Linked DNA regions of Mus musculus: all the other regions are reported to be linked to region 1. The links are microRNA targets in miRTarBase. Many come from high-throughput screens and were not tested one by one. Region 1 holds a microRNA gene; each other region holds the end of a gene's coding sequence.
Evidence for each region. Region 1 holds the annotated microRNA mmu-miR-449a-5p (UGGCAGUGUAUUGUUAGCUGGU, at 1,512-1,533, opposite strand). A microRNA usually pairs through its seed, bases 2 to 8, with sites in the 3' UTR of a target mRNA and lowers its output. Matches are read on the target gene's strand: a 7mer-m8 pairs with bases 2 to 8, a 7mer-A1 pairs with bases 2 to 7 and ends in A, and an 8mer does both.

Region 2: miRTarBase lists Fyco1 as a target of mmu-miR-449a-5p. Seed matches in the 3' UTR shown: 7mer-m8 at 10,409-10,415 and 8mer at 9,176-9,183.
Region 3: the mRNA of B3glct is a reported target of mmu-miR-449a-5p. Seed matches in the 3' UTR shown: 7mer-m8 at 4,551-4,557.

The regions. Positions count from the first base shown.
Region 1 is chr13:113,036,082-113,039,081 of GRCm38, reverse strand. It overlaps Mir449a (microRNA 449a), which reads right to left and starts at 1,548; the gene lies at 1,458-1,548. The region is part of intron 2 of Cdc20b (cell division cycle 20B); the gene reads right to left. Mir449c (microRNA 449c) reads right to left here; the gene lies at 2,991-3,000. Mir449b (microRNA 449b) reads right to left here and starts at 1,663; the gene lies at 1,584-1,663.
Region 2 is chr9:123,781,856-123,792,941 of GRCm38, forward strand. It overlaps Fyco1 (FYVE and coiled-coil domain containing 1), which reads right to left. Exons shown (of 18, transcript NM_001110253.2): 18 at 7,645-10,894. The coding sequence ends at 10,819. It overlaps Ccr9 (chemokine (C-C motif) receptor 9), which reads left to right. Exons shown (of 3, transcript NM_009913.6): 3 at 1-1,602. Among named protein-coding and RNA genes, the nearest start is that of Gm17021, 14 kb to the left of the region's middle.
Region 3 is chr5:149,755,638-149,766,723 of GRCm38, forward strand. B3glct (beta-3-glucosyltransferase) reads left to right here. Exons shown (of 15, transcript NM_001081204.2): 15 at 3,802-6,962. The coding sequence ends at 3,969. The region is part of intron 1 of Gm36141 (predicted gene, 36141); the gene reads right to left. It overlaps Gm38587 (a long non-coding RNA gene), which reads left to right and starts at 7,545. Exons shown (of 3, transcript XR_001785033.1): 1 at 7,545-7,983; 2 at 8,377-8,503; 3 at 10,065-10,446.

The sequences.
Region 1 (3,000 bases):
AGAGTAAGTGACTGTTGATGTGTCTGATTTATATCAACCCCACAAAAGTCAAGGAACATTGTAGAAGAGGGGGACAGAAGGAATGTAAGCCAGGGAATGAGGAAGAGTACTGGGAACACTGTCTTCTGGCCCTGTATGGTCCTTACACTCCTCAACTAACGACAGATAAGCAGGCCTGTGTAAGATGAAGCCTGCTAACCATCCAGCAGGGTGGGGAGGGGCCCGGAGGCTCCACCCTAGCTGAAGAGCCGCTGGAGAATGATGACAAATGGGAAACGGAGGTCATTTTTCTTCACGGGCAGGAGCTGTAGTGGATCAGATAGATGGCCCCCCGCTCGTGGGAATGTGGACAGCTTTAATTGGACTCAGGGTGTTATTTTTTAAAAGAAGCCATAGAGGTAGAAGGGAGGTATTGGGAAAGGGTCCAGAGGGAGTGGGAAGTTTGGGTTGAATAGAATCAAAATTCATTGTATACATGTGTGAAATTCTCAGGGAATAAATAAAAATTCTAAAAAAAAAATGAAAATACTATTTACTTAGCTGTCTTAAACACAAAGACCATCATAAAATAATACTGGTCAACAGCAGCAACACCAAGGATGAGATTTGAAAATAGTAAAATACACAGGAATCAGATAATAGCATCTGTTTAACCTATGTCTAAGAAATATATTTACATTTAAATAGTTAATGCAAATTTATTTCATCAGGAGATTTTGGCCCAATAACTTAAAGAGTGCAGTCTTTTTCTTTTCTCTTCTATGTCTCTAGTAGTCACCAGTACACCACAGTGAGTTCTGGTGATTTCCTGCAGATGTCCACCTGAGGTCACCATATGACCTCTGACTCTGTTCCGTGAATCAAACGGCCTTCCAAAGAATGAGGAAGTATTTTAAATAATATTTATGGCCAGCTCTTCTTCTTTCTTTATAAACTAGATCTCATGTCCTTCCAATTATTGTAAAAAATATTTGCAATATTTTATACAAAATGGAAGAACTGAGTTGTCTCCCCAAATAAATAAGCCCATCCCTACCACATCCCCAAGATATCCCAAATTGTCTAGATACTTCTAGTGAAGATGTTTTAACGTGTGGGTCATTTTGAAAGTTAACACAAATTCTCCCTCCACTTGGTGTATACATAAAGTTGGAGAGACCTGCTCTACTCTATCATGAAACTGATTTAGTTGGAAACTTGGGCAAATACACAAGGCTTTCCATTTTATTCTAAATCTTGTGTTAAAACAACAAACACATAACTTTATAAATGCTTTGATAATGTCAAGCTAGGACTCAGAAAATATTACTTGAGTTTTTAAAGTAACAATGGTTAGTACTTTCACTGCTATAAATATGTCCTTGTGTCACCCCAAGCCACTAATAGCTGTTATCATAATAGTACCCCTCTTCATGGCAAAGCACATACATGAGCTGTAAATGCATGCTGGTGGTGATTGTGTGTGCAATAGGAGAGCAGTCGCATGTTAGCTGGTGCCGCTCACATACTCAACCAGCTAACAATACACTGCCAAGCCATCACACACAGGCAAGACAGCGCACCTCATTAACAAGAAGAACCCAGCCAGAAGGAAGTGGCAGGGTAGCTGTGGCTGCTGGCCTGACCCAACGCAGCCAGCTAACAACACTGCCTACCCGAGTCTGGCAAGTTCGGATTTTCACAGTCTGTGGAGTGGCTGAGGCTAAGTTTCTAACAGAAAGACACTGCTGCAGAGCTGCTGGAGTGTGGTGGCGTGGATACGGAGAGCAAGGGAACTCTGAGGGAGCCAGTTTTCTCCTTCCACCATGTGAATTCCTGGGATAGCATGGCAGTAAGTGCCTTTACTGAACCTTCTTGCCAACCCCAGAACTCTAATCTTAGTAACTGAAGAGGATTTATAGAGAAACCTTGTTTAATGTCTCCTAAACTATAAGAAACAAAATTTATATTACCAAGCTATACCCATGTTTTAAAAAAAAAAACTTTTAAGAACTTTAAATGTGGTTTTTGATGTTTTGTTTGTTTTTCCCCCTTGGGGGTGGGGGGTTGATTGGCTAATTTTTTTCTAGACAGGTTGTTTTTGTGTTTTTTTTTTTTTTTTTTTTTTTTTTTGTAGCCCTGGCTGATGTGGAACTGCTGTGTAGACCAGGCTGGCCTGGAGCCGGGAGATCCACCTGCCTCTGCCTCCCAAGTGCTGGCATTAAGTGCTTGACTAAGAACTCTGTATTCTTATACTTGGGTTTTCCAAATTTAATGTTAAGTTAAAGATGTTAGCAAAGTAAAAATGAATTAACAAAAGTTCAATTGAATTAGGCAGTAAAGTATCTAGAAGATAAAATAATTTGGGCAGGAAACATAACTAAAGACACAATGTAAAGGCTTTTAAATGTTATTTCTCTATAGGTGACATTAGTCACTGCATTTTAAAAGGCCAGCTATATATTTGATTTCAAGCGTCACTGATTGAATATAGAAAAATGTATGTTATCTAGAAAAATATTCAAATGGTGAGATTTTAGCTAATAATCTAAATTTAAAAGCATGTGGGCTATTTGGTGTAAAGAGAAGTAAGTGGTGCTAGAGATGTGAGTCAGATGAGGATTTAACTTTTTCATCCATTAAAGAAAGTACAGGAGCTGGAGAGATGGCTCAGCGGCTGAAAAGAGCACTGGCTGCTCCTCCAGAGAACACAGATTAGATTCTCAACACCAACAGGGCGGCCCCCAAAAGCCTGAAACTCCAGTTCCAGGCGATCAGAAGCCCTCTTCTGAGCTCCGCGGACACCACGCACACACGTGATGCACAGATATAAGTGCAGGTAAATAAACACAAGGTAATAAAAATGAGTTTCAAAAGAACACTCTTTTAAAAAGAACTGCAAGCTTTGGGTTAGAGCTTTAAGGGGCAGAAATACTATATTGGATCCAGCTTTTAGTAGCTGTCTTGAAGACACCTCCTTATCCACCAGATGGCACTATTTCCACGTCTTTGCATGCTTCT
Region 2 (11,086 bases), not on the chromosome of region 1:
GTGTTTTATAATGTTTAGTTACAAATGTCCTTCACTTGCTATTTGTTTTACCATTTCTCAATATTGTATTTGTGAATTGTGAACAATTAAAGATTAGATAGAAATACAGTAATTGTAAAAGGTAAGGCTGGTAAATCTTTACCCCACCAAGCCACTTAAGTTTTTTTTTTTTTTTCTCTTCGACTTCCTTCATCTTTCACATACATATTAAGACACAAAGTGAACATTTCTGGGAAGGTCAGCAGGTAGTTTAGCAGAAAGAGGTAAGTGAGCCCCAAATATGACAAGCACGGCTTCCAAAACCAAGGTCAGTATAAGGTCAGAGACATCTGAATCATTGACTCATTTCTAGGAGATCCAGATATCTGCCCTGTTGAGGAACTTGATGAATGAGCAAGAAGTATAAGCTATACTGTCTTAGTTACTGTTCTATTATTGTGAAGAGACACCATGAGAGACAACTTATAGGAAAAAGCATTTGACTAGGAGAGTCACTTGTAGTTTCAGAGAGTTAGTTCATGATCATCATTGTGGGGAGCATGGTGGTAGGCAAGGATGGCGCTGAGAGCTTATGCTTGATCCACAGATATGCAGTAGAGTGAGACTGGGCCTGGTGTGGGTTTCTGAAACATCAAAACCTGCCCTCAGTGACACACTTCCTCTATCAAGGCCACACCCCTTAATCCTTACTAAGCAGTCCACCCACTGCAGACCAAGCATTTAAATATATGACCCTGTGAGGGCCATTCTCATTCAGATCCCAACAAAGACCTACACAGCCACAGCATTGCATTACACATTCAGACTACAGCACACACCTACACAGTCACAGCACTACACATTCAGACTACAACATATGCCTATGAGCCACAGCACTACACAGGTGGCATTTTGTTTGCTCTTGAATGCTAATTTGATTTTGTAGTTCTAACATTTTGTCCTGGAATCATAATGGTGCTGAAGGAGAGAGGCAGAAAGAGAAGCAGGGTGAACCTTCAATGTACTTGCTTAATCTATATGCTTGCCAAGAATTACTTACATAAAGGACCCTATGACAGAGAATTAGTGGGTGTTGAAGGTAAGTGCACATTAATTAGAAAATAATTCCAAGCTTTTCCCCCTGTGGTTTGTGATGGGGAGTTTGGGAACACTACAGGAAACACAGGCTTTGTACAATATCTAATGAAATAATTGCACTTAGTTTTAAGAAGCTCTTGGAAGTCTGGGAGATGCTTAGCTCTGGATTCAGTGAGAGAACCTGTTTCAAAAATTAAGGTAAAGGAGCAGAGAGCCCTTTCAGATGCTCCAGGTTCAACTCCCAGCACCCATATGGTGGTTGCAGCTGTCTGTAACTCAAGTTCCAAGGGATCCAGCACCCTCTTCTGGCTTCCATGGGAACCAGACACACATCTAGTACACATAAATACATACAGGAAAAACGCAATATTAAAAAAAAGATAATGCAGAGAGCATTAAAGGAAGACACCTGATATCAACCTCTGTGGGAAGCCGTGAACAATCGCCATTACAAGATGGCGCTGGCTTCCACAGTGTCTAACTAGTAAACAAGCAATGTGCGCAGGTGCTGGAGTAAATTCGTGCCAAGTCACTGCCCATCCCGGGGTGTAAGAGTGAAGTGAACAGCTAATCAAGAGCTGACACGTCACACAGAGGGGTATTTAAGCAGCACCATTTTCTGGGTTCGGGGTCTTCCTGAGAAGTAAGCAATAAAGATTTGCTGTAGAAGGATCTGGTTGTCCAAGTGTGTTTTGCTGGCAAAATGTTACAAGGACAAAGTGGTGCCAAAACCCGGGAATATATCATCACCAGGCGCTGAAAGGAGACTCCCTCCCCCCCCCCAACATTTCACGGGACAGATTCAGAACTACGGGATAATACAGCTCTACAAGGTATGGCCTTAAACTTTCTCCAGCGTTAGAAGCCTTTCTGTTCCTTTTCACAGAGCTCGTTCTTTTCTTTAGATTGTGTACAGTTTCCACAGGAGAAATTGCTAACTAGTGTTCAGTCGAGGTCAGACAAGGTTAGAAAAAAATGCAAGAAAATAACATGGGAGCCTCCCACACTGTAGTGACCGCCTTACAGTCGGTCCTGAGGCAGCGTGGCTTAAAAGTCTCCACCAAGACACCAGAAGGCTTTGTAAAAGAGATAGATCACATAGCACCGTGGTTTGCGTGCTCAGGGTCCTTAACTATCCCCTCTTGGGAGAAACTCAGGGGAAATTTAGTTGGGGAGCAAGAGAACAACAAACTTAAAGCAAAAATCATGCCGTTGTGAAAGCTGATAAGATCATGCTTAAAGGACGAGAAATGTCAACAAGTAATTAAGGCAGGGCAAAAAATTCTAGATAAAATTCAAGAAAGCCTATCAGAGACAGAGCGGGGAGAGAGAATAGGAGCAAAAAGGGAAACATGATACACCAATCAAGCATACAGGCCTTTCCACGGGTCTTGAACCTGAAAAAAAAAAGATAATGTCGAGAAAGAATGCCCGGGGAGAGTTTAGAAAAGGAGAAAACAGAAAAACAAAAGATAATATAAAATATAAAGATACAAAAGATAATATAAATTATAAATATACAAAGGATAAAAATTAAAATTAAGTCAATTTACCCTCCTCTCGAGGACTTTGACTAAAGAGGCAGCCTTCATTAAAGGCTTAAAGATAGCTCTCAGGGTCACTGTGCCTCCTCTCTCTTCTCTGGCAGTATTCCCAAAAGAAAGAGATAAAGAAGTAGAGTCTGAACATGAGAGAGAGAAAATAAGTTTTAGAAAAGCAGTTATCCCCTGTTTGGGATCTTTTAGCAAAAAAAGAGAAAAAATGAAAATAAGCTATTTCAGAGCTCTCCTAGAAACAAAAGGAAAATGGGAGATGTCCTATTTTCTCTCTGGCTCCTATGGAGATATTCTTAGCTCTGGTTAAAATATCTGTGTCCCTTTGAGACACCAAGTTCTATTCCCTGTCTGTCTATTATCTGTTTTTGGTGCACCAAAACAAATTGTCCATATATCTGTCAATTCATGTTTGTTTTTGTTATGTTGTTTGAATGATTATTGTTCTGTGTTTCATGTTGAAAAAATATAAATGGTTAAAACTTTATCTGCTGGCTCTCCATCCTTTAACTTGTTTAAAAAGCAGTTTTAATTTGCACAGCACAAGCTAATAAGTTAGCTGCACTGTGGCTAAAAACCAAGTACAGCTGAAAAGCCTTGCTGAGGGCCGATTGCAAACGGAGCTCTTAAAGGGGCAGGCAGCCTTTTGCTTGTAACAGAAAGTTAGTTTAAAATTGGGAACTCAAGGTTGGAGTCTTTCTAAACAACATGAACAAACACAAGAAAACAAGTCTTTAAGGATAATTCAATATAGGGATAATCTTTGGGCCAAGACTCTGGCAGAGAGTTCAGATTGAGAAAAGTTTGCATTTGGGTTGAGGCAAAGCTCAGAGGGGAGCAGCTTCAGCTCGGCTTGTGTGGTACTTCTTAGAGCCTTATTACAGACCTAGCCAGATGTTGTTCTAAATAAAATTTAAATTCAAAGTTTATAAAAGGTCAATTAGGCTGTGAAATTTATCAATACATTGCGATTTGACTTGCCTACTTTATATAAAGTTATAGTGTACAGAGTTTGCTTACATATATAAGTGTCTTTTCCTTGTTCCAAACAGCCATTAATTTGGTTATTGCAAAATATTGATGTTTGATTTATTGCATACCATCATATAAAGTAAAATTGATAATCATTATCCTAAGATAAGCTAAAAATTTATAAATTCATGCATGCATGCATCCCATTTACTGTGTTTAAAAAATAGCCTTTATATGAGAGAAACGTATATGTGAATTAAATCACATGATTATTCTTTTGAGTTTCTTCCTGTTTCAGCACAGATAATTAAATCGTGTGCTAAAGATGGTGTTTAAAAATGTTGAACAATCAAACTTTAAGTTGTATATTAATAGTCAATATTATATCTCAGAGCTTACAATTGCTTATGCAACTTATAAGAAAAAATACTGTTCCTTTAAGAAAATTGTTTTTGGGCAGTTAAGAACTTGTCCTGGATTGCCTGGAAATAACCCCCAAGATTTGCTTTTGTGTTATAGAGGTTTACATAAAGCTTTAACTAATAAAGATTACAGATAGCTCCTAAAAAGATACAAACTCAGGATTCTTATATTTATTTGGGTTTTAGAAGATAGTTATTTACAGAGACAACTTAAAGATTTTCTCTAATTTCTGATTAATAAATAAATTATACACAAGTGACTATAATGACTTTTCAAGCATTCTAGTTACAATCTCTCTTCAAGAGAAACAATTGAAAGGTAATTAGTCATTGTTCATGTTATATTAAAACTGACTAACAGTTCAGTATCTAAAATTTTGATGAAAATACAAGATTGTATTTTGATGCGTGAGCACCCCTTTTATATTCAACATATTAGAGCACATACATCATTACCTGGCTCCTATTCAAAGAAAAAATTCCTAAGCTAAAGTTAACCACTGGCAAGAAAGACTAAACAGATAACTCCTAGCTGTTTATTTTGTAAATCTAAATAGTATATATGACTGGGCTGAAAAGCCACCCTAGAAACAAATGTTCTGTTCTTGTTAGTCAAAAACATTCATGACCTACACCTGGCATCAAGGCAACTGACTCCCACAGGCTATATCCTGGAGAGGACACAGAATGTATATGAAGGCCTCTATCTCAAACCGGTCATTAGGTAACTAGGAAAATTAAAACTTCTTTAAAAAACAAAAACAAAAAGGGGGGATAAAGGCTAAGACGCCAAAGATGGCTCTATCACTTATAATATTTACTCTTAATTTCTCTTAATTTATTAAAACTAGATAATGCTGGGAGATCACCAGCTAAAAGGCACGGACAATGGCCTCAACCGCTCAATGAAATGGTCAAGTGGAAGAATGTCCTTAATAATAAATGGTATGGCCCAAATCTTATCTTAATCAGATCCCGGGGAGCTATTTGTGTTTTTTCCACAGGGTGAAGAAAATACACTTTGGGTCCCGATGCGACTGACAAAGACCATGAAAGATCAAGATGAATCCCAAGATGATCCTGTTATTCTTACTCCTGATGATTGAGACCAGTATAAGTATACCCTTGTGGGCCATAGTAAGATCATGGCCAGTACCTTTACCAGTACATTCCAATTCTTCTACCTTGCCTTTGACAACTGAATATTTTTAAAGAAAAAGATTATCTCTAATTGGACAGATTCCATTAGCCAAAATAAAGTGAGCTCTGGAGTGTTATTTAATGCTTTAACGCAAGTTGCTCAAGGAGCACAGTCAGGCTCAAGTGATGTTGGAAATAATGTAACTTCACCTATAAAAATCACCACGATCATAATAAAGGGAAATGCGACTATTCCCAAAAGATCAGGATGGCCTGTTGGCAATGCTACTGCTATACACAGCATGCCTTGGTGTCATCCGGACCTTACATTTCCTATAGTTTTTTCACCTTGTCAATCAAAAACTTTTTCCTCAGAAAGAAATAACATAGAGTTTTGTTTTGTCACCTCCATTAGATTTTGCTATAATAACTGGTAAAGGAGATGCTACAGAAAAAGAAAATATTTGGCCATATTACCAATAGATTCTAAATAATGAGACAGGTGTTGGTGCCCAGTTAAAGGGGGGGCTGATGATATTGAATCAGCGCTTCGATCTGGTTGAGGAACAAATAAGTGTTCTATACCAGTTGGCCCAGTTGGGCTGTGAAAGAAAATTGGGTGCTCTGTGCATCACCAGTGTCCAATATGAAAAATTTACTCGTGCAGCTAATCTGTCTAGGCAGCTTTCTTTGTATCTTACAGGAAATTGGTCTAAAAGATTCGATGAGACCCTTGAGGCCCTGAGAGCGGCTGTTCTCAAGATCAACTCGATGCAAATGGACCTGTCTTTGACAGAGGGCCTCTCCTCCTAGATTTCATCTGCATTTTCTTATTTTAAGGAGTGGGTGGGGGTACTTTTGTTTGCTGCTGTTATCTGCTGTGGACTTGTGTTCATGCTCTGGTTAGTTTGTAAGCTCAGAACCCAACAAAACCATGACAAGGTCGTTATTGCTCAGGCACTTGCAGCCATTGAACAAGGGGCCTCCCCTAAAATTTGTCTGTCCATGCTTAAGACCTAAATGGCATCTGAGTTCTCTGCTATTGCATCCCAGAGATTTGTGGATCCATTGCACTGGGATGTGAGAGACTCAACACTCATTGATCAGCACTTACACCTCGCTGAGGTTTACTAATTCGTTTTTTGGCTGGCCTCTTTTATAGAGTTCGCCCTAAGTCATTTAGCAGTTACTGTCACACAGTACTGCGGTATCCAGAGATGGGCAACTTTCCTCATGTACAGACCTACCTAAGACACGGGACCCGGTGGCGATAGGGCTACCCTATGACGGGAAAGGCTGTGACATTAGAGGAACAACCTAAGACAGGAGCCACAGCAGATGGGCATAACTGCAGAGGCCTAGACCAGCCTCAATTTTAATAAAATAAAAAGGGGGAGATGTGGAAGCCGTGAACAATCGCCATTACAAGATGGCGCTGGCTTCCACTGTGCCTAACTAGTAAACAAGCAATGTGCGCAGGTGCTGGAGTAAATTCGTGCCAAGTCACTGCCCATCCCGGGGTGTAAGAGAGAAGTGATGAGTGAGCAGCTAATCAAGAGCTGACACGTCACACAGGGGTATTTAAGCAGCACCATTTTCCGGGTTCGGGGTCTTCCTGAGAAGTAAGCAATAAAGCTTTGCTGTAGAAGGATCTGGTTGTCCAAGTGTGTTTTGCTGGCAAAACATTACAAGGACAAACCTCTGGTCTCCACAGGTACACATAGACATGCACCAATGATGAGGATCTTTATGGCACAGTATTTCTTTTAGTCCTTTTGTTCTGAACTTACTGTTTCATACAGTGGGGGATGATAATGATGAAGATGAAGAGTTCCTTACCCTCACGGGAGTGCCTAAGAGTTACAGAAAATGTGAATGATCCAAGCAGCAAGCACAAGAAAATCTAGGCAAGGGGAAGATTGGAGGAAGGGAACAGGACATGTGCTGGGGGGTGGGATTCTCAAGGGATGGGGTCCTTGGTCATCTAAAATGAGCACCAATTTAGGAACAGTGTGGGAGTGAGCAGCTCTAACTCTCTGGGCTTGTCTCCAGCCTCCCTGCTGCTGAGCAAATTATAGCACACACTGTGGCAGGTGCTGCTCCTTTTCTCTGCAAAGCATCAGTGCTACACATGCTTACTCACAATGAGCTTGAGCCCTGTGTGGCTTTTTTTTCCCCCTGTATTATTTTGGCAGGTTGAAAAGTTTGAGTGCTCTGATGTCATGAGAGAGGTCTGGAGCCTTATGAATGGCAGAGGATGGTAGGTGGAAGGAATCACAGGCTTGGACAGGTCTCAATACCTCAGAGAGGACCAGGAAGTTTGCCAGGACCTATCAGTCACACTCTTATCTGCGGGGAGGTGGGGGTGGGGTGAGCTGGGATGGGTTGGGGGTGGGGCCTGTGAGATGTTCTGCTTCCTGCTGGGTAGCTCTGTCGCTTATTTTACGACTTATTTTTGTCAGAGGAATAAAAGACAATGCTACTCCAAATGCCACAGTATTTGCTTTATTTAAAACCTGAGGTTAAAAAACATTTCCAAATGGCATAGCACACACTATTAAAGAAGTTTACTCAGGGATCCCAGTCTCATCCCTTCGTGCAGGTGAAGTGCTGGTGTTTGATGTGCTTCTGTGTAACTCTTTGGCAGGCAAGAATGAAATGGGTTCCTTGACCCATTATTATAAGGCCACATGGATCGTGAATTAATGAATTAAAGTGCACTCTAACTGTTAAGCCTTCCCACGGAGGCTCAGTATCACTGCAGTCACCAAAAGAACATTGAGTGAGATTAAACACACATCAAAAGGCTCTAAAAATGACCCTTGATCAGAGGTCTCTGGAAATTTAAAAAGTGCTTGAGAGGGAAAAGGAAATTATGAATTAACTTTCCTGTTTCCTCAGAAGAAATGAAATGAGACAAGGAAAGTGTGCTAAGATTCTACCAAGTAGTGTTCGTTTTTGTAAATGTGAGCAGCACTCAATAGTCTTTGTATTGCACTCCCTGGTTCTGAGGAGTCAAAGATGTCTCTCCTCTCTGCCTCCTTTTCCAAAACCTGTGAGCCAAGAATGTTTTTTTCTCAGTTTAAAGAATTCTCACAGGTTGAACCACTGAGTTTGAGTTTAAAAACAAAACCCTATGATCATCAAACCATATCTACACGATTTCCTTCTTTTTGGGCCAGGAGTGGTTTGATTACCTGGGGGGGGGGGCAATTGAAATTGTTCAGAAATAACATCTTTGTTTATATATGGCTCTTCATTTCTACCTCCAAAACCATATGGAAATTTTCAGTTCCAGATTCCTGTTTGAGAATTCCTTTGCCTGCTCTTGGTCTAGGACTAGCTAGAATCCTGGGTACTTCAGTCAGCAATACTCTCAAAGTCCACTCAGACACGGAGGGCCACTCTGTCTCAAGGTGGGTGAAGTCTCATAGTGCTTCAGTGGTATTGGCGAGCAGGCAGCTGGCAACACTACTGACCTGACTGTTAGGAATAGGCTGAGTCATTAGAGGAGAGGCTGCCCTCAGGAAGAGAATCACCAAGATCTCAAGGATGTTTCCTTATGATCTTTGGTGTAATTAAATCCAGCTGGGCCATCATCTTCCTTAATGATTCTTCAGTTGTCAATTGCATTTTTCAAAAATTTACTCCAATGACTAAACCCCAGTAAAACTGGGGACTACTTAAAACCATAAAGCTATGTATGAAAGGCACACTTACACAGGGCCAAATGTTCTCTAGTAACCTAGTGCTCAGCAGACTGGAGCAAGTACAGTACAAAGCCCATTTAGCACAAAAATAGACTATTAAAAACAGAGTTGGTATATGCCTAGTGGAGTACTATGCAGTCAGCACTGGAGCCTCTCACCTCAGGTCTGAGCTTCACAAGAACCACATGGGCCTCCTGATGAGTGACTGAGTTCAGGATGAACTCAAATGTAAGGTCTCAGGCCCCTCCCAGGCCACCAACACAGCAGCAACTCAGTGAATGATGGCTCTTGATGAAGATGGTGGCAGTGACACCAGCAGAAGGCCATGAGTTTGGCCAGTGTCTCCAATATACCCTGGAAAATCCAAGCAATAAAAATGAGATCCTATTTGGTACTGGATGCTGTTGATCTATTGAACAAGCTGGCTTCAGCATTCCATTTGCAAGAGGGTAGAAGGGTTCAAAGGTAAGATAATTTGGCTTTTAGCAATCTCAGGCCACATACAGACCCACAAGAACCCAGGGTAGCCTTCAAAGGCTCAGCTGAACATGCTGGCTTCTTCACACTGAACAAAGTTGCCATCATGGGTAAATTCTTGGTGGTAGGAGTAAGAAGGGGCCAGAGAGAACAGGAAGCTATCTAAGCTATCTATTTGCCTGTCCTAGAAAAAGAAACAGTAAACTGTCTACAACATCAGGTGTGAGCTAACTAGCAGGAAGTAGGCAAACAGGGAGGGAGTGACAAATGGAAGTTATGTCCTGTTCTTCCACTAGGTAGCCTCTTAAGTTACCAAAGACTTTTCTTTCATAGAAAGGTTGCAGGGATTGACAGTAGGTCTTACCCCAGCCCCACTCATTAGTAAACAGCTGTCTGCAGCTGAGGCAGAAACTCTAGTTTATAATCACAGATGGGCTCTAGGCTGACACGTGAGCTTTGGTGCCACTGTAGGGAACTTAGCCTGTATTTGGACTCCTGCTGTCCATATGCAGAGCTGAAGCCTTCATGTAGTAGTTGCTTTTTCCTAGACCTCTGTTTGGTTCCTGAGTGTGTGTGTGTGTGTGTGTGTGTGAGTGTGTGTGTGTGTGAGTGTGTGTGTGTGTGTGTGTGTATGTGTGAGTGTGTGTGTGTGTGAGTGTGTGTGTGTGTGTGTGTGTGAGTGTGTGTGTGTGTGTGTGTGTGTGTGTGTGTGAGAGTGTGTGTGTGTGTGTGTGTGTGAGTGTGTGTGTGAGTGTGTGTGTGTGAGTGTGTGTGTGTGTGAGTGTGTGTGTGTGAGTGTGAGTGTGTGTGTGTGTGAGTGTGTGTGTGTGGTGGTGGTGGTGGTGGTGATTTAGATCTGCTGAGTGGCCTTGCTGAACAAAGCCCCCGAGCAGACAAAGGCTCAGGAGAACAGCACAACAACTCTGGCCTCCCAAAGTCGCTGAGTGGAAGAAGCAGACCCCACTTATGGGGAAATTAACGAATGGGGGCATCTTTGACATGATGACCCTGTAGTGTTTTTCTCCTAGGACTACCCAAGGCTTCACAAAGTGGCCAGGGCAGTGGCCCTTGGCCTACAATCTTGGCTGTTGAAGAGTAGATATACTATCAAGACCACGTCTGGCCTGAAAAATACCACACAGTAGATTGTTACCAGCTGTGATCCCAGGTGTGGTTAATGGTGTCACTTTGGATGAAAAGGCTGAGTCTTGTACCTTGTTCTTAGGGGCTCTGGGACCTGAGAGTAACGGCTGCATGGAGCCAAGCGCACTGTGGAGCCCAAGGCCTCTGCCAAAGCTGCAGAACTGCTGAGCTGGGGGCACAGCTGATTTTCTTTCTTTTGCTTCTAATTTTTTAATATTTAAAATTTTGTGGATGAGTGTGCGTGTTCATGTTTAATGAGATAGGTGAGGAGGAGTAGTGTTTCCTGTGGATGATGAAGAGCTAATTAGAGTTCAGGTACTGATGCTATGGGAAATCGCTTCCATCGTAGATCACAGGCCGGTCAACAGTCAGGTGGTAAAGCACTTTTTTGGAGATAAATCTGAAGAAATAGAAACGGAGAATGAATGTGTTACTTTTAGCGCAGCTTCTTTTGGGGTCTCATGTCCCTGATTGTGCTTGGCTGGGTGTAGGAACCAAAGTCTCGAAGGAACCAGCCTTTGGGGACCGGACAACTTATAGATCACTTTAGTGTTCCTTGTTTTCCCTATCCCATCATCTGCCCTTCTAGTCT
Region 3 (11,086 bases), not on the chromosome of region 1:
TCTGGACATCAAATAAAAACTAGCGATAAACTTAGAAGCATTAATTTCTAAATTTTTTCCCCTACTATATATACTTTTTGAATATGAATAATGGAACACAAGTCTTTCATGTCCAAAGTCTCTGCCATCCTCCCTGTTCCCCCCACCCTTTAGCTTGGTTACAGAGAACATCATTTTTACCTGTATGCGCCTCCCTGGAATAAAAAAAAAAAAAAAAAAAAAAAAAAAAAAAAAAGCTTTGTTCAGAAGAGAGGACTCGGCTTGGGGAAGACAAGATGAAAACATACGAATGTCAGGCAGCATCGCTACCAGGTCTCCAATGCTATACCCCTAGGTCGGTGTCACCAGGGCCCTATCTGAGAAGCTTGTCCCTTTCTTGCAGAGGACCCAAGTTCAATTCCCAGTGCCCATGTGGTGGCTCACAATCATCTGTTAACTCCAGTTGCAGGGATCCAGTGCTGGCCCCCATGGACCCTAGGCATACATGTGATATGTGGTGGTTTGAATAGGAATGGCTCCCACAGACTCATGAGTTTGAATGCTTGGCCCACAGGAAGGTGTGGCCTTGTTAGAATAGGCATGGCCTTGTTGGAGGAAGTGTGTCATTCTGGGGGTGGGCTCTGAGGTCCAATGCACAAGGTCCACCCTGGGCAGAAAAGACGCTGTTCCTGGTTGCCTTTGGATCAAGATGTAGAGCTCTCAGTTCCTCCAGTGTCATGCCTGCCTGGACACTGCCATGCTTCCTGCCATGGTGATAAAGGACTGAACCTCTGAACCTGTAAGCCAGCCCCCATTAAATATTGCCCTTATAAGAGTTGCCTTGGTCATAGGATCTCTTCACAGCAATAATACCATAAGACAGATATACATACATGCTTTCAGTATAACACTCATACACATAAAAGAGTCTAAAAAAGTGTGTTACATATCATTGTAATAATTGAGATGATTTTAGTATTACAAGCTAAATAAGTTGCAATATAAAACAAATGGCTAAGGGTGGAGTGATGGCTCAGTAGTTAAGAGCACTGACTGCTCTTCCAGAGGTCCTGAGTTCAATTCCCAGCAACCACATGGTGGCTCACAACCATCTGTAATGGGATCCGATGCCCTCTTCTGGTGTGTCTGAAGATAGCTACAGTGTACTCACATACATGAGATATATAAATCTAAAAACAAAACAAAACAAAAAACCACAAATGACTATATAAATTTATAGACAAATTAAGGGCATGATGGAAACTTGACACTTTGATTAATGCAATCAGGATTGTGTCTGGTTTCAGTTTACCTTTGAACACATTGTCATTTGAACACAAAATGATGCAACCATGTCATTTTGGGGCATGTCTCATTCTGCCTGCACTTCCTATTCTGAGTTTCAGAGAATGTGAACGGTGACATTAAATAACATTACACCCTTTCCGTTTGTACATTGGGATCAGAATTAAACCGCTTTTCCCTACAGTGAACTCATGTTTTCTCTTTGAAAGCCTCACCTGGGTATGCAGCCTAGGTCCTGAGAATACCTCACCTGAGCTCCTGCACAGCTCACACCTGCACAGCTCAAACCTGCACAGTCCACACCTGCACAGCCCACACCTGCACAGCCCACACCTGCACAGTCCACACCTGCACAGCTCACACCTGCACAGCTCACACCTGCACAGCCCACACCTGCACAGCTCACACCTGCACAGTCCACACCTGCACAGCCCACACCTACACAGCCCACACCTGCACAGCCCACACCTGTACAGCCCACACCTGCACAGCCCACACCTACACAGCCCACACCTGCACAGCCCACACCTGCACAGCCCTGGCAGTTTCTTGGAAGAGACCTAGGAAGTACGTTTTCTTCCTTTTCTTTGTTTTTCATTTTAATTTTTTCCCACAAGTTATATCACACACCACCAACTTATATGAATTACTGAGGAAACCGTTTATGTTTATTGCCATGCTTGAACAGTCTCCAGGACAAAAAGTGTGGAACACAGGATGTAAAGCATTTGAGAAATTAATCAAGAGAAATTCAAGGCAACGAGTGTGGAGTTTGAGGGAAAGTAGTCGAAGATATATCCCTTTCTGCTTTGAGATTCCCATAGTCACTACTAAATATTAAATTGAAGTAGTTGCAATATGGATCAACATTTATCTTGGGTCAATTGTTATGGTGGGCATTTTAAATCTCAGCACTCAAGAAGAAGAGGCAGGCAGATCTCAAAATCCAAGGCCATCCCAATCTATAGGAACTTCCAGGCCAGCCTGGGCTATGTAGACAGATCTGATCTCAAAAATCGCAACAAAACAAAACATTATTCTGAGATAATCATTTAAAAGATGTGTCTTTACTTATTGTGTGTGTGGGTGAGGGATACCACGGTGAACATGTGCTGGTCAGGTGAGACTTCGCTGCATGCCACCAGGCTGTGTGCTCTTTGAGGACAACGGCAGATTCCTAGTTCTGTTGTGTCACCAGAGCCTGACATACACGCGAAACTTGAGAGAGCAAAGTAGGTTAGTGGTTCAGTGTGGGTGGTGCTCTGTGCACAGAGCCCCGCTCTTCTCTTGGTGGGGCTGGGGACGTGGTGTGCTCCCTCCAGGTAAAGCAGAGGGGATGAAGATGGCTTGTTAGTCAGAGACAGCTGAGCCCAGGCCTAAACAGCACCTAATGCCAAAAAGGCCTGCAGCATGGGGTCACCCACTTCACAGAGACTTGCAATCTGAACCCACATGTAAACCACAGGCAAAGATTAAGGCAAGGTGCATTCTGGCAACTGGTTAAAGCAACATAGCTCCGGGGTTGGAAGCCAGGTCCTCGGGCTTGGCATGAGGCACTTTTACCTGCTGAGCAAATCAATTTTTTTTTTATTGAAAATAGATGTTTTTATTATACAATATGTTCTGAGTACGGTTCCCCTCGCCCAGTTCCTCCCAGGTCCTCTCCGCCTTCTCCTCACCACAAATCCACACCCCCTTTTCTCTCATTAGAAAACAGGGATCTAAAAACAAAAATAAGAAGATAAAATTAAGTAAAAACAAGCAAACCAAAATAGGATGAAGGGGGAAAAAAAACCCAAATAAAAAGCACAAGAAACACATAATGACTCACACATTTAGCCACACAGAAATTCTGTAAAAAACACAAAATAGGAAATCATGAAAAAAAAAAAAAGCCCAGACAAAGCCGTGAGACAAAAAAAAAAAAAAAAAAAAAGCAAAACAAAACAACCCCCTACACACACACACACACACACACACACACACACACACACACAGAGCCATCTAAAAATAGCAATGAGTTCATTTTGTGTTGGCCATCTACTGATGAACATAGAACCTGCCCTTGCATACCCAGAAAGACTCCTTTAGAGGAAACTAATTCTTCCTTTTTGAGCAGTTATCAGTTGAAGATAACTTCTGGGCTAGGGATAGGACCTTGTGTCTACTTCCTCTCTCAGCGCTGGGACCCCATCCAGCTTAGACGTGTGCAGGCCCTGCGCATGCTCCATGAGTTCATCTAAGTGCGTCAGTCCTGCTGGGTATAGAAGGCTTTGTTTCCATGTTGTCTTCGGTTCCCACAGTCTCCTAGAATCTCTCTATCCCCTTTCTGCAGACTCTTTGAGCCCCGAGGTAGAGATTTGGTGGTCCTTCTGCCTTGTGCAGTTGTCTCTGTCCCCATCTGCAGGAGGAATGAGCCGATCATTCTTAATCAGAAAACCGTAACCTGGGAAATCCTAACTCGGTGGTTTTTTTTGTTTGTTTTTTGCTTTTTTTTTTTTTTTTTTTTTTGAGCAGGCTCGGCCAGTAGATTACCCCAAGGACTACCTCGCCCATCAGATTCCAGTATCATTTCACAAACACTGGCACATTGACCCGGTAAAGGTGTACCTCACGTGGCTGGCACCCAGTGAGGAAGACCAAGCCACGCAGGAGACACAGAAGGACCCAAGAGAAGAATTATAGAACAGAGTCTGGGACACACGGATACAAGAGATTCACCCTGTCTGTTGAGCTGTGGTCCAGCTGCTCGTGTATGCTGTGTGAAATGGACACTTCCCAGTCCTTGTGGAAATAGGATATTTTCTGTATCGGTAGACTCATAAGGGAAACTGGGAAAAATCGCTTGTTTTCATAGATGTCGTAATTGTAACACGGCAATTATTGTGCCTATTTTAGCCCACCGTGGGCTGTAAATCAAGAGCTTTTTGACTGTCAGAGGAAATAAATGGTACCTAAAGTCCTTTTCTGTTTTCTCCATTGTAACAGGGACGCCAATACAAGAATATGACTGGCTATCATCCCACATAAACATTGAATCTTTAAACATGGATATTGCCAAAGGAATGAGCCTTTAAACCAATGGTTCTCAACCTGTGGGTCGAGACCCCCTAGGAGTGGCAGTTGGTCCTATGTCAGGAATCCTACATATTAGGTACTTACATTGCAATTCGTAATTGTAGAAAAATTACAGTTATGAAGTAGCAAGGAAATAGTTTTATGGTTGTAGGTCACCTCAGCATGAAGGAACTACTGTATTAAAGGACCACTGCCTAAGGAAGGTTGAGAACCATGGCTTTAAATGGCTCTATTGTTGATGGAAATTGGTTCCCAGGCACTCAGTAGGAATGAAATACTGAGGCTGATTGGTAAAACCTAAAACTCAATATGAATACCCCCAACTATACAATCACGGTTGCTTTTTCCCCTATTCTGCTGGTTGCACCCCCAAAACAGACTCAAGGCCATCTGGTGAAGGCTCTGCTCCCTGCCAGCCTCCCCAAAGCCCTCCGCCCCCAATAGAGTGGACAGAGTGTCACCGGAAATTAGGATGCTAGGTTGACAGGTCTCTTCTGTGTCAGCAGTGGGCGTGGGGGGGTCTGGTAATGTGAGCTGCATCTGGAGCTGGCCTGTTACTCCTGCTGTTCCCTGGGTGTTACATAGTAACTCGCTTCTGGCTCTGGCTCAGGCTAGACTGCCTCCGTCCTGGCAGCATCAGCATGGCCCCTTGTGAGAGGACAGCATGGAGATCAGCAATTTCTCTGGGTTTTAAAAGAATGAAATCTGAACAACATGCTTTAAAGCAACCCTCGTTTTCCAGTGACACCTTTTATTATGTCCTAATTTAACAATTCAGCGTTAATATATATAAAAAAAGAGTACTGTGTGTTAATGTTTAAAGTAAGATGATGATTTTGTTATATAAATGTCTTTGCACATGATTTGCTCTCAAGTTCCTAAGGTTGTATGTTAGAATCCTTTCCTTTTTTTCAATCTGTACTTCATTAACCTTACTTATAAGGCTCCTAAGCCCTTATAGCCTTTAAAGCCACTCCATCAGCAATACCTATGTGATTACTTTTTAACAATGTATATTCCTATGTAGCTTACTTCTGACTCATGTCCAAATTCATGCAGTAGTGTTTATCATCCTTTTCCCAAATTAATAAGCACCAGGATTGGTGTGTGGCCCACTACTTCTGGTTTCTGGTGGAACACAGACTATGAAAACTGATTCTGTGGTTCAGCTAGAAACTGAACTGAGGACAGTCAAGTGCATGAAAGGGACCATAATGGCTTCTGGGTGTCCTGCAGATGGCTGTAGCATCATTGCTGACACGGCAATGATGAATGCCACCATTGTGACCATTGCTATCATGGTACTTACCTTCTTGACCTTGCAGGGATACCCCGGGGGGACCTGGTTGCTACACCAGTGCCGCTCAGGGAATTCCTCAGTCCACCCCTCCCATCTCTGCTCCTGAAATGTTACCAACCAGAGAACAGAGGAAGTTTCATTTGGTAGGACAAAAGCTAGCGCATCTGAGGAATGAAGAATGTTCAATCTTTTTTCTCTGTTATGACCTGTGCCCTCTTTCCCCCTCCTCCTTCCCCTCCCCCTCCCCCCTCCCTCCAGGATCCTGCTGGTATTTCTAGATATGTGGTTAACTATGTTTCCCTTTTGGAGCTACAGAAGTCTCATCATGAATACAATGTCTTCAGCTTACTTCTGACCTTGCATTTTGTCTATTGGTTGAGGCTAGATGTGGGGTGGGTAGGAGCATGCTGGACAGGCGCTGAGAAATTGGGAACACTGGCAGATTACTAAGACAGTCAATGAAAACTAAACATCTTAGGAAAAAGCAAAGAAAAAAAAACAGTTTTAAAAGAACCACGTGTTATGTTTTATACATAGCAAATGGCAGGCTCTATTTGAACACCAACTGAGAATTGATATCTTAAAAAAAAAGAAAAAACAAAACAAAACAAAAAACCTTAATTTTGAGCCTGGATTCTTCAGGGCACATCCCTCCCTCTTTGGTATTCTTTTTCCCTTTAAGTAAGGATTTCTTTGCCAGTAGATATTTTTATCCTAAGGATTTAGCACCAAGGATTTATGTATAGAATTACCTGATAGGTCATTTTTACTTTTAAGCCATTTCTCATGACCCAGCACATCGCCTGCCTGTAGAATTTTTACATCTTACAGCTAAATCAGAAGTCGAGACACAAAAATAACCTTTGTTGAATGCTTGGGACCGTAATCGCTCAGCAGCCAGAGTTACAAACAATGCTACGCAGGGCCGTGTTAGATGCCAGTGTTCACTGCGTGTCCTGATTGATCGACGACATTTAGTACGTTGCATCTATCATGGTTATTGATGTGTATAGAGAACCTCAGAGATTCACCACACAGTAGACATTTGTAAGAATATTTGTGGTGCCTCCCGTTCCTTCGTAGATGTGTCATTTTTGTGGAAGAAAAAAAAAAGCAATCAATGTACCATTAAGTACACTATAGCAGACTTACAAAGGGGCTTTGTTCCTGCTGTCTTTGAATGACAGGCCTGAAAAGGTGCTATTTAAATTGTTTATGTCCTCAAGCCCTCTAAACAAGTCACCTGCAAAATGTGTTCTCCTCCTTTCTATAGAATAAAATAAAGGATTTGTTTCTGGTATGCTTTGGCTTCTGTTGTCTCTTTAAAGGCATGATACTCCAAGCATGGGAGGGGAGGGGAGGGGAGGGGAGGGGAGGGGAGGGGAGGGGAGGGGAGGGGAGGGGAGGGGAGGGGAATGATCAGGAATAAGGTACTTTAACAAAAAGCCAGGACTTGGTTGGGTCCAGTTTAGAGGCTTCTTTGCAGGGAGCAGTTAGAGAGGAGGTCTGTGTGAGAAGAGAGTATTAGGACGAAGAGTTGGAAGATTAAGGAAGCTGAAATTTCACTAGTGGCTATGGAGGGTTTTATAGTCCAGAGGGACTGGCCAGGGTGCAGGTCCCCAACATGAAAGGGAGTAGAGAGTGTTCCTCAGCCGTCATTGTGAAGTTCAGATGATGGCCAGCAAGCAGCTGGATACGAAGTCTGGGCTTCAGGGCAGCCAGAGGTTCAATATTGAAAATCATGAGTGTTTCAAAAGCTTACTATCTCTGAGTTCTATGTAGATGTGTGTGTGTGTGTGTGAGTGTTGTGCTCATGAAGGCCCAAGGTGTCAGATCTCCTGGAGCTAGGAGTACCTGCTGTGGGTGCTGGGAACTGAACTCAGGTGCCATGGAGGAGCAGCCAGTGGTCTTGAGCCCTGAGCTATAAATTCAGCTATATATTCAGTTCCAGCTGAATCATGAGCATTTGAAAGGGTCCACCCTCTCAGGAGTGGGTAGGATGAACTGGGGAGAAAGTGAAGGAGAGAGAGACAACCTGTGTATGTGTGTGTGTGTGTGTGTGTGTGTGTGTGTGTGTGGAGTGTGTGTGAGGAGTATGTGTGAGGAGTGTGTGTGTGGAGTGTGTGTGTGTGTGTGGAGTGTGAGCTGCATGTCACAGCCAGGGGAGGTATTTCAAGAAGCAAATGTCCCATTCTATTCCAGCTGCCAAGAGGTCCATTAGGAGAGGAAGGGACTGTGTGATTCAGTGTCTTGGAAATCATGTGACTGGACACACCCATCCCCAGAGGTTGAGGAGCAAGTGCAAGTTGAAGACAACTGTGGTAAACATCTCTCTCTCTGTCTCTCTCTGTGTCTCTGTCTGTCTCCCTGTCTCTCACACACACATAGGCACACATAGAGAGTTCTGAGCTTGTCCATAGTTGAAGAAAGGAAGGTGGGTTGAGACAGAAGATGAAACCTGAGGCGTGAGGAGTTGGGCTTTCATGATGGAAAGTTCTGGAGCCTGTTGCAGAGAGCAGTACTGTCTACCCTGGCTGTGACAGTGGGTGGGGCTGGCCATGTTAGTCATGGCTCTGTGTTCGCAGGTCTCTGAGTGCTTAGGAGAACCTTCTGTAAGTGAAGAATAGAGGCAGAAACAGGAGGACTTACTGCTGTGAGCGCATGGATAGGTTCATGCGTTGGAGACATGTCTCTGTTGAATTTTAATTTTTTAGTGTGTGATTTTCGTGGGAAGCAGCTTCATGAGTTACAACCAAGGAACTCCTTACATCATTCATATCTTAGCTGAGATTCACAGACGGGCAGTGCCGCCCAGGGGTCCATGTCTGACGAGTGGCAGAGGTAGGTGTTAATGGATTCTTATTTTATGTGTCTGACTGTTTTGCCTGTAGGCGTGTCCGTGTACTACACGTGTTCCTGGTGCCCGAGGAGGCCGGAAGAGAGCATTGGCTCCCCTGGGACTGGAGTCACGGGTGTTTGCAAGCTGCTATGTGTGGTTGCTCAGAATTGAACCTGTGTCCTCTGCAAGAGCAGCCAGTGCTCTTAACCACTGAACCATCTCTCTAGTCTCAGAGCTAGATTCTTGAATGGGCATTTTGGCTCCAGAGTGTGTGTGTTTAATTCCTCCTGCAGTCCACCGAGAACATGTAGACTGTGCAGACTCAATGCATATCTAGTTATAAATGCTAGCCTATGGGAAGATAAGGAAGAGACCACACGATAACCATATAATAGCCCCACAGACAAGAGATTATTAAGCGAACTCTGATTATTTATCAGATGAGTTGAAGGACTAATGCATGCTGGCAGATTAAGAAAGGAAGAAGCAAGCTACTTGAGAATATCAAACATGCATGTTGCCACGGGGGAAAAGATGCTGACAGTGATGAACACATTTGCCCCTCTTCTCAGTGTTACTCTGTTGTGTGCCCGAGGGAGCTCATGTCCGTACCCCAGGAAGCACACCCCAGCTGTTCACAGTACACCAGGAAGCACACCCCAGCTGTTCACAGTACACCAGGAAGCACACCCTGGCTGTTCACAGCGGCATTTGCTATTCTCAAGCTGGAAGCTGTATCCAGCCTAGGTGTCTATTGCCTAAAGAATGGGTAAATAAGGCGTGGGTTCTCTATGGCATCTGCACGTTCAGTAGCTCATGTGAGTGGCCTACAGGTCCAGGAGACTTACACCATCAAATCATCAGAGTTAAGACTCACATAGGATCTCAGTGATATAACTTGAAAATGGAAAAGAACGCAGTGGGGCATACATACCTTTTAGAGAAACATTAATCAAAAAGTAGAGAAAACATAAACACAGAGTTCAAGATAATGACCACCTGCAGGGGAAGGAAAGGGAGAAAAGCCAAGCCCTGAGATGTAAAGGGACTCAGAGGGACCGCCACACACTGATGCCAATATCACTGATGTCTCTCATCAAAAGGCAGGTCACCCATCAAACCGTAACCGTAAACACCAAGCCAGCCACAAACCGTTCGATCTACAATGGAGTCCCGCTTGCAGGTTACGCTAGGGCAATGGTGGTACAAAGCTTGTGGGAGTGACCAGCCAATAACTGATTTTACTCAAGGCTCATAGCATGAGATGCAACCCAGACCCCAAACTGCTTGGTTGACCAAGAACCTGAGAGTAGAAAGGCCAGGCAGGGACTGAGGATAAACCCAAATACTACAGTTTGAAACAAACAGACCACAGCAACCAAATGGCTCCTAATGACATTCTTCTATATCCCTAAATCAGTGCCTTACTCCGTCATCATCAGAGACGCTTCCTCCTGTCGCAGACAGGAACAAACATCCCACAGGCAGACATTATACAGGGGATGAGAGACCTTGGGACACGCAGCCCTGAATGAGTTGTCTCCATCAAATTCTTCCCCTCAGGGTTCTCTGAATTCTGATGAAGAAGAGACAGAAAGAGTGTAAGAGCCAAAGGGGATGGAAGACACCAGGAAAATACGCTCTCTAAATCAACAGGATCAATGCACAAAGAACTCTCAGAGACTGAGGCAGTGTCACCTGGTGTGCACTGGTGTGCACCAGATGGGATCCTAGAGCTCAACAGGCAAGTAGACTCACGCCTCACCTCCGTCCCTAACCTAGAAGCAATCTCCAACTGATTACCATTTGCAAAGGAAAATTTAGGTTGCTTCAAGGACATCCCACTAGGGAAACAAACTACTCTTAGGGGTAGGTCAAATGACCAGCAGTGAATGGCCAACAGAAAATGAATTCAATGGCAGCAATTCAGAGCTTCTTTGACTCACAGGGCTTTTTCTTTTTAAAAATTTTTTTATCTTATTTGTAATTTTTAAAAATTTGTATACACACACACACACATATATATATACATATATATACATAAATATATATGTGTGTGTATGTATATAATAAATATGTTATATATATATTATATATATGTTATATGTGTATATATATAATATATATGTTACACACACACACACACACACACACACACACACACACACACACTAGCTGTCTTCAAACACACCAGAAGAGGGCATCAGATCACATTACAGATGGTTGTGAGTCACCATGTGGTTGTGGGACTTGAACTCAAGACCTCTGGAAAAGCAGTCAAGTGCTCTTAACCACTGAGCCATCTCTCCAGCCCCTTATTTTTATTTTCAATTTTATTTTATATCTATATTTATATCTGTATTACAGCTTCCAGATTAGTGTTTTGATGGGATTCCTGAGTGCAAATCAGTGGCCTCTCATCTACTTTCTTGTATCTTTTTTCTTTCTTTTTTTTTTTTTTTGGTCTCTTTTTCTTCTGTTTGTGTTGTCATATTTTGATGTGTTAGTTTTTGTTTAACATATCATATCACATCACACCACATCATAATCTTGTAGAAGCCTGTTTGTCTTCTAATGAGAGACAG